Coturnix japonica: one gene and its partner. The protein of the gene in region 1 interacts with the protein of each later gene in a pairwise test. Links are inferred from orthologs where the notes say so. Each region holds a gene or a part of one and is shown on either strand. Other genes may lie near its edges.

The links. The genes of interacting proteins can lie anywhere in the genome.
Region 2: the proteins of HOMER3 (region 1) and MOS interact in binary tests that used the Homo sapiens proteins (3 or more experiments, as listed by UniProt). The two-hybrid records come from large-scale screens. The link is inferred for Coturnix japonica from reciprocal best matches to the Homo sapiens genes HOMER3 and MOS.

The regions. Positions count from the first base shown.
Region 1 is NC_029543.1:2,749,028-2,756,343, reverse strand, and holds part of HOMER3 (homer protein homolog 3), read right to left. Parts: intron 5,701-7,316; exon of another isoform or gene 5,570-5,700; coding exon of another isoform or gene 5,556-5,569; intron 3,994-5,555; coding exon 3,837-3,993; intron 2,937-3,836; coding exon 2,805-2,936; intron 2,385-2,804; coding exon 2,277-2,384; intron 1-2,276. UniProt on the Homo sapiens protein: Postsynaptic density scaffolding protein. Binds and cross-links cytoplasmic regions of GRM1, GRM5, ITPR1, DNM3, RYR1, RYR2, SHANK1 and SHANK3.
Region 2 is NC_029517.1:100,573,368-100,581,304, forward strand, and holds the start of MOS (proto-oncogene serine/threonine-protein kinase mos), read right to left. Parts: upstream 5,127-7,937; 5' UTR 1,418-5,126; coding exon 311-1,417; 3' UTR 1-310.

The sequences.
Region 1 (7,316 bases):
AGCTATAAAAAGACTCTGTGAGTAATGAGACTTTGGGATTCTTAGTTGAGGGCTGTGAGACCAGGTGGCTGGTGAGCCCGCTGGAGTTGAAGGTAGCCCTTAAAAGTCTGATAAGGACAGCCACCTGTCTTCAGAGTCATCTGACATCTAAAAATAGAGGCAGACTGGACCACAAGATGTATTGAACACTGGCTTCAAGAAGCCTTCCAAAGGGCAATCGAGAAGCAAGACCTGCAAAATACAACCCTGCCTCATCTTGCCCCATAAGGCTTTTTTATAGGCGGAGAAACTGAGGCAGGCAAGGTGCAAAAGTTTCTGGTCTAGTCTGTCAGCCCCTGTGAATTCAGCTGAAACTGGTAACAGTTGAAGATGCTCCACAATGTTTTGTTGCTCTGTGATGGAGATGCTAAAACAGGATGGGGACTGACCTAACAGGTACTAGAGGATGGGAGAGAGCTGCTGTCCTGGGATTTCCTCTTAAGTCTGAAGCCTAAATTAGCTAGTGCAAATGCAGAAAATCAGAGAGCCCTGATTTAATTTCAGGAGACAGATCTGCTCTCTGCTCACTTGCAAACAGAAGAACAATCAATTATTGAAGGATGAAGCTCATGTTTGAAGCTGTATTAATGCAGAGACTGAAAACCAGTAGTAGGAGATGATGTACGTACAGGCTGGGGGAAGCAAGACAAGGTCTGCATGCCCACATGGCAGCAAACACTGCATGTGTTGTGTGCTGGCTTCCAGATGGCTGCAGGCAGGGGTCATGCATACCTACGTGCAAGTTCTCCTATGGAGAGATAAGGCACGGTGAATGGGAAGGGTGAGCATGGGCTTACACTGAGGCCATTTTAGCACTGCTGAGTCAAGTACGAAGAATGAACTGAGCCTCAGGCCACTTCCAAGATGTGTGCCAAACCACCTCCTGATCACCTCATCCCTTCTGCCATAGCTGTGCATGGGAAATGGACACATCCTATTGTGACAACTGTTGCATTCTGCCTGATGTAAACAGAATAGCAGAGAGTTTCTCCACTTCCACCTTGCCTCCCAGCCAAGGAAGCTCTCATAGATGCAGCTGAACATGAATCTGTCTTGGCTCTGCTATGAATGCTCTATACAGCTCTCTTATTCATTTGCCACATATTAAGATGGGACTAAGCCAAAACCTAGGTGAGTTTTTCCCATTTTTCCATTGCACGTGACATTTCCAGTCTCTTCAGAGCCACTGCCTCTACCTCCCCCTCTTTTCCATACAGGCCAAGGTACTGTTCACACTCCCTCCTCCTCCTGCTGCCATTCCATCTGTATTCAACCCAGAGAACGCAGCATCCTCCATCCTACAGCTCCTTTCCTTCTGCCAAGAGCTCAGTGAAGTACATAACCACCTCTGGAGAGCACTATTTGGGAAGGCAACTTCACCATCAATGCCAAACTGCTGCAACATGAGAAAAAAGATGCGTAGACATCTCCACAGCTTATTTTCTCCTCTCCACCCTCCTGCTGCTGGAATTGATTTAGTTATACAGGGAGACAGGCAGCAATTGCAAGTGTGACAAATGTGAGAATGATAAGTGATGGGCTTAAGCTTTCTGGTCTGGGGAGAAACTAAATTGAATGACTGGTTGTCATGCCTGCATCTCGACCTCAGTGAAGATTTCTCCAAGGTGGAACACAGTGCACGGATAGCACAGCTCCTTCTACAGTGGAAAGAAGACAGAAATGGAAGAAGTCTAGCAGGGACTCCCCAGACACCAATGATAAGAAATCACTTTGTCTTTCTGAGACTGGCACCCAGAGACACTTGGGAGAGGAACTCCCCTGCAGCCCCAGCAAGGGAACAAAAATAGCTCGAAATGCCACGTATCTTTCCTCCTAACTTCTTCAGCCAGGCTATGTGCATTCCTGCATGTTCCTTGCCTATTACTGCCAATAACTCTAAAGAAAATAAAGCCAAAACCCACCACCACCACCACCACTAACAGAAAACCTAAGACCTCTTCCAGCATGATTTTCTCAAGACAAATGTTTAACTGACAAAGAGGGAGGAGAGTAAACCTTCCTAAGAGCTCCACTTAAGCAGTAATTATTTTATCCACTTCATGTGCTTCAGTAGAGTGACTACAGGGCCACAGATGTCATCAGAAAGAACCCCCAACCCCAGTGTCTGTCAAAAAAGCATTTGGGCCAAAAAGACAGAAGCAAAAGTTGCTAGAGGAGATCAGCACAGTGACCATTTCCCCTAGCAACCACTGCTCATGCCCGTTCCCAAGCATTACCTGGTGAGATGTGATATTCAGGGCAGGATTGGTCAGCTCTGTTTTATCCTGGGATTTCTCCCTTGCCAAACGTGCTGCCTCTTTCACTTCCTGGAACTTCTCTGCAAACTATAAGGGAGCAGAAAAGTCACTGTACTGCTAAATCAAAACGTAGAACAAATTAGAATTAATGTCTGGGTTACTCCTCCCCTCTGTTATTTCATTTTATGTGGTTTCTGTTTCATCTTCAATTAATATTTGGATTGAGGGAATAACCCCTACCTGCCCATGATTCCAGCACTCAGAAGTGTGAGAGTAGCTAGAAATAATCAGGGAGCCCTAAATCCAAATTCATTTTGTAACATTCAAATACTCTATAAAGATTACTTTCAACCTCTTCCTTGTACCTTTGTATCCTGAATCAGGTTCCAGCAGGACCCTAATGTTTTTGTTTTTATTTTTTTCCACCTGAAGCTGAACTCTCCCTTTTGGGTTTCAAGGATATTTGTCTTACAGGGATCAGGTCTCTACCAGCATCTGCCATATTACCTGGGAGAGGTGTTGCTCTGAAGCAAAGCCCAATCCATATACTGTGTTAGCTCGGCTATCCGCCCACTGTCCGAATTTCTGGGATGTCTTTGTGAAGGTCATGTTGGGAGTGATAGTGCTGTTGATGATTGCCTGTGGAGAGAGGCAAGAATGAATTAGAGAAAACTCCATTCTGCTGCCCAAGGGCGTTGTGTGGGATCACCCCAATTAGTAGGTTATCAATTCTACTAGGGTAGAAGCTCTGCTTTTAATGTATAAAACAGCTATTTGGGGTTCTGGTGATCAAAAGTCTTTCTAGTCTAGCTAAGAAATACACACAAGTGTGAATCTTCTTGTCTACTGTAGGAAAAAATAAATAAATAAGAAAGCCTGAACATTACAAGCTTCATTGGGCCTCCATTGCTGGAAGAAAAGAGAAGATGCGGAAAGTCTTTGGGGACTGAACAACTTTCTGATGTTCTCCACTTTCATGGCAAGCAGGAATTAAAAAAACATTAAGTAAAAGGCTTAAACTGCACTTAGCACAAGCTATTACAAAACACTGTTGGTTGGGGCAGTAGCACAATAAACCGCTTGAGAAGACTGTGGAATCTTTGCTGCTGGAGGTCTTGAGAAACAAGTCAGAAAAATATCAAGAACAGCTGAGGGAGAATCAGCCTTGTCTTGGGGTTAGTGGCTGAACAGACTGCCTCACCTCTGTTTGTTCATTCTGTCTACATGGGTCAGTTTTAGCACAGGATCAGGGCTCTTAGAAAGATCTCTTTTGCATGCTCAAAGAGGAAAGAGTCAAGGAGAGAGAGAAAAGAAAGCACACTAAGCACATTTCTCATTAGCAGAGGGTCTAGTGTCCAATACTGATCACATTCAAGTGTGGAGGCAGTGTTTTATCTTCCATTCCTTGCAGTAAAGACGACAGAGTGCCCCATGCTGCAAACTAATCAGTGTGACAGAGAAAGCATCAATTGCAGAACAGACACTGGTTGGAGACAAACTTGCTTTCAAACTGTGATGCTGTCAGCAAATGCTCCCTACCTTGGTGCCTCCCACACTGATGATCCGGTACACATTGCGTGTGGCATCGTAAAAATAAGAGACAGTCAAAGCATGTTTGCTGGCAGGGATCCAGTTTCTTTTGGTAGCAGGGTCTATTTGGAAAACATGGGCTCTGGTGCTGAAGATTGGCTGCTCCCTGCAACAGAGATGAACAGAGCTGTAAGAGCAGAGGGGAAGCTGAGCAATGGGGGAAGTGGACTGACGTTCTGGTACTTGCATTGCATAATGCATCACCAGTGGCACTTCTGCTATTTGCCTCCAATCTAGAGATATGTGACAGTAGGAGCTAAGCACAGCAGCTCATACAGACACAGTAACAAAGCCACCAAGGGTGTTTAACTATAGGCAGTGGTTTTTACCTTCCTCTGGATCTTCCCTTGTCCTCCTCAGTTGTCTTCACACATTCCCAAAGACCACAGTCACACCAGCAACAGTACCCCGAGATTAGCAAGCCTTACATGCACATTCACCCAGGGATCAGCATTCAACTTGCGGGTAGAAACACAAACAGGACATCGCAATCTTGTGTTCTGCTTACCAGATGGTCCTACACAACACAGCTGGTGTGGCAAAATTAAGCTAATAATTAGTGTTTACATTATGTTTAGCCTGCTTTGAAGTTTTCCTTCACTATCCCTTAGCACATAAGCATACAGTTCATGGTGACTTCACCAGCTCTGTGATTCTCTGGCTGCTATGCTGCTTGCACTACACAAGATATCTCCGAGCTGGAGCTCTGGGAAGACAGATGGATGAATAGACGGAGGATGGGTTTGGGCTGTGAACACAAGAAGTGCCTTCCCCTCAGCACAGCTCTTCCTCCCTTGACTCACGCTTGGGAAGCACATCCTGCAGTGAGAGGTCACGCTGCAGGATTAAAAGCAAGTCACTTAAGAATGAATTAAAGGAAGCACTTCACCACACAATGCGCAGCTGCTGCATGAAAGCAAGTACTGCCTGGATTTTGTAACCAGTAATATCTGAGCTGAACTAAGGAACTGAATCTCAGGCATCAGGATGTAATCTGAGCATTTCAAGAGGCAGGAAGAAATGTTTCCATGACATAACAGACCAGGTGCATCAGGGCTTGCATTTGACTCTGTCTCCATTTTATTTTGTTTTAAACCCAAGGCACTGGCCATTTCCACACTTAAATTCAGTGAAGCCTGGGGTGCTTGGATATATCCCATAACTTCTTGGCTGGGTAGAACAGCTGCAAACAAAGCATAGTCACAATCCCGTGACATGCAAGTCCCCGAAACCCAGAAATTTATTTCCAGCCTATTTTAAGTTCTCACAGCTGCAACAAACTGAACAAGATGACTGACTGTACCTGGTGCTTTCTGAAAGCATCAACAAAACATAGGAAGGAAATAAAATCCTCCCTTTGACCTCCCTTTTTCCAGCTTTGTCCATTGGTTACAGTCCTGTCTCAGATCTCTCATTCAGAAGAAGCCTGCACAAGGGGCTGAACCAGACACTCCTGAGCATTCTCTCTGTCTGGTTTAATTCCAACACAATTTGTTTTTCAAACGAGACTCAGATTCTCTGGGCTCCACTAACAGACACTATATTTTGTGCAGATCGTGACTTATCCTTCAAGACATGGAATTTAAAGAAGTAGGGAAAATGAATGTTTCTGCACCTTCACCCCCAAGTCCTGGGCTAGTGTCAGAAAGAACAAAGGAAGGACATTACCTAGTTGTTGACATTTGTTAGTAAGTGTAAGACAGGCTACAGGCCAATGGAGTTAGTATACGTTTCTCCTCCAGCAGCTTCCTTCTCAGGTCTCCTAGCTGGATTGAGACTCCTTTTTGGTTTTGCCTCCACAGTGATTCATTTCCTAGCGATGGAAAAAGTCAGCTGTTATTTATCACACAGAACACAGTGTGTTCAACCAGGCAGCACTTTGGGGGGTTCGTTTGTCCCAAACTCACAGAGCTTGTAATTTGTAATGATCTCTCATCACTGAGCAAGTTTTCTTTCCCTGCCATGGGAGATAATTGGGTGAGCTGTTTAACTGGAGCAAATCCCTCTGGCAGCAGGAGCCAGCTGTTGGGAGTGGGCCACAGAGGAGCCTGGAAGGCTCTGATGTTTCCAACCATACACATGTGATGCTGGCTGCAGTGACACCATGATGAAAAGCCCTTTCCTCAGAGATCACCCCTCACATGCACAGCGGTTATTCCTGTGCTCATTGCTCACCAGCAATGCCTGCTCCTGGAACCAATGGAAACCATCCCGCTGACTGCAGCAGGTTTCAGACCAAGTGATGTATGTAACAGCCCCTGCCACGTGCTCTGTCAGAGCTCCCAGACCCTTCTCTGATTGCAGGGACAGTGCTGTAGTAGCACCTGGGGATTACTTTCCTTCTTAACACCAGGAACGGAAAATAAAATGCCACTGGAATGTCTATCAGAATAACCCATCTTCACAGTGGTTTGCTTACATTTTTTCCACTTGCATGAGGCTGACTTGGCTGCTTGCTTACCCAGAACACAGAACTCAGGCATGCATGCCCACTCCCTGCTCTCAGGTACAAGGAGATACGCACCAGGTACAAGGAGATATGCACCACCGTTGGTGTCAGTGGGGAAGGGATCTCTGCTTTCATGCCTTTATGAGATCACTGCTGTCTCAACACTTCCCATATGTTTCTTCCTGCCTTATGGTCTTCCCTGGAGCAACAAAACTTCACGCTGTCTCTGACAGGTCTTTCCCTTTCAGTTACAAATGTGAAAGTCACACAGACTTCAGCAGCAAGCTGCGAGATACACCAGATGTGCTTTGTTTCCAACAGAAAGCAAACTGCCACCAGCAGCAGCAGGGCATGTCTATGACTACACCTGCCTACTCAGTGCCAAGGAGGGAACTCCAGCATCTGTTTCCCTCTGAAGGAATTAAAACGTTCTGTTTCACATCTCCCCTCTCCTCACTGTAAACAGGAACAGTTGCTGTCGATTTGCACGTCCCTAATAATGGATTCTTAACATAGCATTACGAGACCAGCATGTTATTGCTTTCTCATAACCACCTGAGTACAGCAGCAGCCTGGCATGTGAACAATGCTTTCTAGGAAGCAGATCCTGAAACTCTGTAGGTAACGATTGAGGAGAGCTTTGCGCTCTGCTTGGGAACAGCGCTGAGATGTTCACTCTCTTTTTGCCTTCCTTGTGGAGAGTGGAGAAAAAAGATGTTTCTTTGAAACCCAGCAAATTACACAGGGTAATGTCTGAAGATCAGCTTGCTTCTGGCCAAGCTGCTGGCCTCTTCTTTCCAAAAACACTACAAAGCACTTAAAAATAGTCTTGAAAGTGGCTAGGATTCAAACTGTCATGTTCTCTTTCCCACTACAGTCCTCCTTCCCCTGTGTTTTAAGTGCCTAAGCTGGGCTCACCACACATCCCTAAATGCTGCCTCTTCTTTTCCTGCTCCCAGCTGGGAGTCCCTGTAACAACT
Region 2 (7,937 bases), on another chromosome or scaffold:
TTGTACTTGAAAACAATTTTTCTTTGTCCCCAGCTTTTCCTCTAAGTGATGGAGCTCACCAGAGATAACTAAAAAAGAGCCACTAAAAAAAAGTAAGCTATATATATTCTCACTAACACCTGGATCCTTGCCTCTCTATCCCCTCTGTAATTTAAAAACCAAATTCGTTCAATTTCTTTATTTATTTTCTTATAACAAAACATCCTTTTTTTTTTTTTTTTTTTAAATATAAAATATATCAAAGAAGCCACAGTCATTATTTTTGAAGAAAAAGTGGAGGGGAAAAAGATGAGAGTAACCTTGAGCTCTTTTAGAGGTTCCCCTTCAGGGCCCTGAGGCTGGGGAGCAGCTGGGCCGCGCTGAGGCGCTCCTCTACGTCAGCCTTCCAGCAGCAGCTGATGATGCTCTGAAGCCTTTGGCCCATTGGTGACTCGTGGAAGATGGCGGCCGACAAAGAAGGGCGCAAGTTGTAGGCTACCACAGCATAGAGCACGTACTGCCGCTCGCCCAGGTAGGGCTGCTCCCGCATGATGATCTGCCAGAGTGTGATGGCAAAGGAGTAGATGTCTGCTTTGGCAGTGACCCTCTCACCCTTGAGGAGCTCAGGCGCACGGTGGGTGTATGTGCCCCCTTGCTGGCAAACATGGTGGCTCTGGGACAAGCCTTCCTCCAGTCTCTGGGAGCAGCCAAAGTCTCCGATCTTGCATACTCCATGCTCAGTGATGAGGATATTGGCAGGCTTCAGGTCGAGGTGCACGATGCCCTGCGAGTGAAGGAAGGCTAAGCCAGTCACAATGTCACACGAGTAGCACACAGCCTCCTCCATGCTCAGAGCCTTCCTCCCACATCCTCCTTCTTCCTCCTCGCCCTGCCTCCACGCATCTTGAGTGCCATAGATGACATGGTGCAGGGTGATGTTGCCAACATATTCCATGATGATGGTGCCCAGGCTGTTCTGGCTGGCAGGGGCACACGTGCTGGCAGCCACCACACGCACCACATTATCATGCTGCAGTCGGGCTACGTTCAGCTCAGCCCAGAAGCTCTGTCGGGATGCCAGACGGTTTTTGCTGCTCTTCTTCACCTGCTTCACAGCCACAGTCACACCATGGTAGGTGGCCTTGTAGACAGCCCCAAAGCCTCCAGATCCCAAGGGCTGCAGAAGGCAGAGTCGGTCCCAGTCAATGGAGCACCAAGCCAAACGTGGGGGCAGGCGGCGTGTCCTGGGTGAGGGGGTCCCTCCTAGGAAGGCTTTTCCATCTTTGCCAGGGATAACTACAGGGCTGCTGCAAGGTCTCAAGTCTGCAGATGGGGAGAGCTCTAAAGGAAGAAAGCTATTAAAAGGAATAGGTGATGGCATAATAAGATGCCAGAAACAGTTAGGAGGACAAGAGACTGGAAGGCTTCCTTGTGGCATTTTCCAAAGGCTCTTTTATTCTCTCTGCACAATTTTCCCCTCCTACCCCCTAATGATCTGCATCTGTCTCAATGAGCTAACCCCATAATCAGGTTCATCTGAGAACATTCTTCTTCCACCCTTATGTAAATCTCCAGAAGGTAAAGGTCTATGGATTTAAAACTAAAACAGATTAGTGTGTGTGTATTTTGCATGATTTTTAATCACAGGAGATAAGAAAGATACTTTGCTCAATGAATATCTCTAGCAAAATGCCCTGGTAGTAAATAAAGTGAGTGCATTTTGCTGGGGTTGTAGGAAAATGATAATTGTCAGATGCATTAGAGAACCTGGGGTCATTCTCAGAGGACACAGCTGAGTAGTAACCACTAACATTTGATAGGCCTATGGCAGGCATAACTAAATGTAAAAGTGAGTTTAAAGGGACCTGCAACTTGTGTTTGACAGGAGGAGGTGTCAACAGAAGAATGAGAATGGGAAACCTGGATTATCACCCAGTGATGTGAAACAGATTGGCTAGGGGAGATTTAGATAAATAGGTGTTAATGTGTGGTAGGAGTTGCTATCAAGGTAGAGGTTGGAGAGAGGTCTCATAGGGGCAGGGTCCTGCTCTGACATCAGCTATGCTGGGACATCTGGGGGCAGTGGAGGACACCAACAAGGAACCTCTCTGCAGTTTTAAATATGCTGCAAAGCAACCAGTACAGACAACAGGTTGCAGCAGTGCTGGGGTTGTATACCTGTGTGGTGGCTCCACTTAAAATCTTCAGAAGAAGTGCATTCTCAGTAGGTGAGCTGTGATGATAACAGAAAGCTGCAATAAGTAAATCCATCTATACTGGAGATGGAAATGACAGCTGCTTCCCTTGAGAAACAACCACTGCAGGACGTCCTTGCCACACCTCCCAGCTACATTCAGCTCCACTGTCCCTGCTCAGAAGCAGGGTGCTGGGCTGGCAGCCCCACTCATCCCAGTGCCTTCCCCAGGAGAGCCCACACTGGGCACCCAGGAAGGCCTTCAGCTCTGCTGTTCCCATGTCGCTGCTATTCCCACAGCAATATAAGGAAAAAGGAAGCTGTGTGAACCAGTGCTTACCGGCAGGGAACTTCAGCATGTCTTGAGCTCTGGCTGCTGCAAGTGTCATTAAGAGCAAGCACGTAATAAGAACTTTTAGAAGTAAAAACAGCAAAGCATGCAGCCTGTGTCCTGAGGGCTGCAGCATGTGGCAGTGCCAATAACTTGTGGCAGGATCCTGATGTTCCAGGCTTCTATGAAACACTTTTACAGTAAAATGTACGTCTGATGCTGCAGTAGCTTCCCAGCCTCAGCTGTGCTTCAAGCTGAGGAGCACAGCATCACCCATGGGCATCTCATCTGTACTCCAGGAACTCCATCTGCCAGTGCTGTTAGCTACTACCACTGTTCATAGACTTGCAAAACAGAGCCTGTCCTGCAAACATCTTCAGGGATGGGGCACCCACCACCTCTCTGGGCAACATATTCCAGTGCCTCACCACCCTTATCGTAACAAACTTTTCACTTATATCCAGTCTAAATCTCTTTTCATTCTGCCTGAAATCATTTCCCTCTGTGCTATCACAACAGTTCCTGCTAAAGTGTCTGTCCCCTTTGTTCTTAAAGCATATGGTTAAATTCTTCTCCACAACCATTAGTTTATTTATTTGTGCATCTGCTCAGTGAAAAACACACCCCTTTTAGGCCTGTGTGTTCAGTGTCTTCTAAGAAGTGCTTTCCAGTATTAAGGTAGCACTGTTTCTATTAAATTCCTGCATTTATCTCCTAAGTACTTATTCTGCTCTGAAAACAACATGGCTCCTTAGCCTGTACCTTTGTGACTTCTGAGTTTTCTTTACCCTTTCTAAATCAAAGCTTTTTTTCCGCTTGCTGTCAGTCTCTGTGATCTCACTTTGGGGTTTGATGACAAACTGACGTTCCTTCTCACTTCTATCCTCATTTCACAGTGCAAGTGTTGCTTCCAGTCACACTTCATAGACCTCTTAACGGTATTCTGAGTTGCATGAAAGCAGTTCTGATAAAATCAATTGTGCAGGCGTAAGCGACATCATCATTTGAAGCCAGTCCATACACACAGCCTGCTCTGAGGATGGGCCACAGACGACTGTTTATTTTAACTGCAAGGACGAGCCAGAAGTGAATAGTTTGTATTTTGGAGTTATGGTTGCTTTGCAAATGACACCTTGTAGTAGCAAATGTAGACAAGTTTTCATTAAAGCGCTGAGAGGTAAACCTTAATGCCAAGAACAAGCGCATCCACGGGAGTTGCAATGCGATCTTACAGCCCTTCTTTAGAAAAGAGCCATAATAATAAACATTTTAAAAGGTTAAATCCTGGTTTATAAATAATAAGATCAAGTTTCAAACACACACTGCCAAACAGTCGCTCCATATTTTTTTATTTTCATCCCCAAAAGGTTACTGTGTTTCAGAGCAGCAAGCAGAGGCTCTCCCTGCTGCAATGCTCTGAGGTGTTACCTGGAGGCAGCTGGAGGAAAGCAGGGGGGGGTCTCATGGCCCATTCACTATGAACACAATTGGACCAGTGATTACAACTTGGAACCTGGTGCTGTGGGTTAATATCACAGTTGCAGAAGAGCACCCTTGAGACGAAATGGTCTAAATTTAGGTGTGAGGATGATAAAGGTGAAACTCTGGACCGCAGAACACTTTCAGGTGACACAGAGATGGGTGCCTCTCCCTGTGGGATTACTGCTGTATAAGGCAGGCACATCATGCAGTGCTTCCAGCCACATTGGCCAAGAGTGTTTTTGCAGTCCTGCCCCTGTAGCGCAGCTAACAAACAGCTTTGCTGGGTTGTGGGGTGATAACAAAGAGCATTGGTGGAATTTGAGAGTTGTAGGTCAGGGAATAGAAAACGGCTTCTGTGCTTAATGAGCAACGTGAATCAGCCACAGCAAAGGGCCAACGGGACAGCATTAGTGCTACGCAACCACTAGGTGATAGATGATTTCCCAGGCACAGCAGATGTAATGCTGATGCTTGGGACTGAACCCTTGCTGTTGCAGGTGATGTGTGGAAGGATCAGTGATCCCAGCATCCCACAAAACCCCTGACCACTGATAACACCCAGCTCCATGATCGTAATGATCGCTAGGCTGCAGCAGGACAGAATTCAGTGAGTTTGGCAAGTTAGTCTATGCTTACTTGTCCTCAGTGTTAGATAACTCCTGCTCCTACGTTACAGTTTAAAGGTTGCTCCTTTATCTTATGTCCCCTTAGTTGTACAGCATCTATACTTTATTTTCACTTTCAGTGTAAGTACTTGCGAGAGAAACTTAAGGATGTACCCATGACCACATGTGCAATCATTTAATAAAAAGGCAATAAGCCAGAGGTGAGCTTAAATTCAAAGGCTCTGCCAACAAGGACTCTTCTACTGAATATCTATCTAATGCTACACAGGGGTAGCTGAAAAACACCTTCCCCACAGGAGGCTGTGCACCCTGTAGATAAGCTGCTGCCTCTCGTAGATAAATCGAGGAATTGGAAGAAACTCTTCCAATGTGTCTGGGAAACCAAGCACTGTGTTAAGTGGGAGATACCTTTACCAATAGCGTGATTCACTTTGGACTTGAAAAATGCTGAAGTTCCATGCTTACATTTTTTGAAGTGAAACAAAATGTATTTCTCAACTTTGGAAAGTTTCCCCATGCATGCACACATGTACACACACACACACACACACCACACACACACTCTTTTGTATATATATATAGTATATATATTTGTATATATATATAGTATATATAATTATATATATATATAGTTAGTGTGCCCCGGTGGCGCAGTGGTTGGAATGCCGCGTTGCGACACCGGAGCCCAGGTTCGAATCCCCTGTGGCGCAAGTGGTAGAAGTGCCGCTCTGCTACACAGAGGCTCGAATCCCGGGGGTTGGACTCGATGATCTCTAAGGTCCCTTCCAACCCGCACGAGACTGTGATACTATGATACGATGATATATATACACAAAAGTTTAGGCAATATACTGATTTCAGATTAATCAGAAATTGTGATTAACAGGAGCTCAGGGGCACAGGTTTAGATTTCTCTGTCAAAAAAAAACCCCAAACATTCTGTATGTTAGGGTACACTTATTAAATGGAAGGAAAGAAGGGAAAGCAAAGGGAGAAAGTATAACAGATCTTTTTCTTCCATTCCTTTCTTCTACACCTTTCAAGCAAATCTGGACAAGAAGCAGTTGAAGACAGGTACCGCCTCTTCCTCCATCTGTAGAGCTGTTGACTCTTACCATGGCCAACTCTCTCAAGTCAGTTAGAAACCTGTGACACAGAAGTGACAAGTCAGTTCAGAGGCGACAGCTGGGAGTCGCAAGAAAGCAAAAGTGTCTGTATGACACAGTTAGTGACTCTGGAAAGATCCTCTCTTTCAGACTGGTGAACAGGAGAAAATCTAAAAATTAAAGAATTGGAAGAGCAGGGCATTAGTAATATACATTTTGAAGAGCAAGGAAATGCAAATTTGAAGCAGCTTAACAGCAAACGCTAATTCTTTTCCTTTCCTGGCAAACAATTCATGCTAGGAAAATGGCTACATGGAAAAAGAGCACTTTCTTCTGCAGCTTTCTGCAACTGTGGGTAGGCTGCTGGTTTCATGGTACTTCTTCACTCAGTGCATTAGTCAGACTTGTTAGCGAGGCTTCCACAGCAGTGTCACAGGCAGACAGGAGGTGTGTGGTATCAAAACAGTGAAGTTTCTCCTGGAAGCGTGTCAAGAGAGGCAACCCACACACTGTGCCTGGAACACATGCCACAGTCTCACAGTTTATCCTACGATCTATGACAACAAAAATAAATCACTTGCATTCATCTGAAGTGATGGAGAGAATCGCTCACCCATTTCTCCCACGAGACCCCCAAACTCACCTTCCAGCTTCTCAAAAGGGCAGCTTGATGGCAAATGCGACTGCTTGCTTCTATTAGAATCTGTCTTGTCACAGACACAGTAGCATCATCCAGTCTGTTCCTTGGTAAAATCATGAAAGGCAGAAACTTCTGCTCATTAGATTTGCTGCAAAACTGACATTTTACCAGTCATCAGTCAGGAACACAGTTACACCTTTGCAAAATCAGAATAACTACACCCAGGAAAACTGGATGTATGTAAAATCACTCCTTGCAATCCCAAGCATGCAGACCGAGATTATCTATTGAAATGCCAGGCATAAGTTATTCATTAACTAAAACCATTCTGTAATTTTATTGATATATTTTGTGGAGTTCACATATTTTTGTACAGCAAACATAACACTGTAGGCCACAAGAAGCTGCAGCACTATTGTTTAATAGCAGCAAGGTATATTTTATAATCAGGGTATGTGGACAATAAATAGTCTGTTTCTTTGGATGTGAATGTTTAAAATGAAGTTCTGCTGCAGCTTCATAATGTGATTGCTATTTTACAGAGCTTATACACAAAAATATATACGCAATCTTTTTGTCTATATTTTATACAAATACAACAGTAGTTTGTGAATACATTTTAAAGTACATATACATGATAAGCAACTCAATTTCCCATATCACAGGATAGCAAATTTTAAATGCAAGAAACATACACAAATTCTGTCTGGAATGCAGGGTTTTCTGTGTTCTTTTTTTTTTTTTTTTTTTTTTTTTCCCTCTGTTTTTGACTCAAAAATTTGATCATTCAAACATTTTAGCATTCGAGTCCAAACGATTTTCCCACTATCTATAAAATAGAATTTCAGCAATCCAAGCCAGGTTTGGGTGTGTCATCATTCCCCAATATACTCTTTCCCAGTTTTTGTCTAAATTCAGAAGCTTTTAGTAATATATAGTATGTTCTTCACTCCACACCATATAAAAAGCCCACGTTTAATTGTAACTAAATCATCTATTTTTTTTATCTTTTTTTTATGTGAATAAGAGCTGGGCTTGTCAGCGTTTAAATTTGCATGTCCAACATTTTAATTCTGCAAGTGCATATGAATACATTGTGGTGTTGTACAAAGTTCATTAATGACAAATTAAGTCACAGTATAAAAATATATCATACAACTATAGGTCTAGTATAGTCCTTTTTTTCTATGGGTAAAAATACATCTGAATGAGACAGGGAGGTTTGTAGCACCATGAGAGGAGTTGTATCCCAAGTTACATTAGCAGCATGATCCAATATAACAATATTGCAGGAGTGTTTCTGAGGAGATAAACATTCACTCTGGTTCAACTGTACCACTGAAGCTTATACTGAAAAGTGTTTACATATGATTAGCAATAGTTCTGTGTCACTTCCAGGGCTAGATAACTGTTATCAAAAGACACTGCCTTCCAACAAAGTAAGACACCCTTATTACATAAAGCTTTGGGACAATCCAAACACATTTTTGAACCACTGTGGCATTGTTTGTATGCTGAGTGTAATGCTAATGCCTATGGTTTTAATTGTACACTGGGAAGATGCAGAATGGGCAGCAAA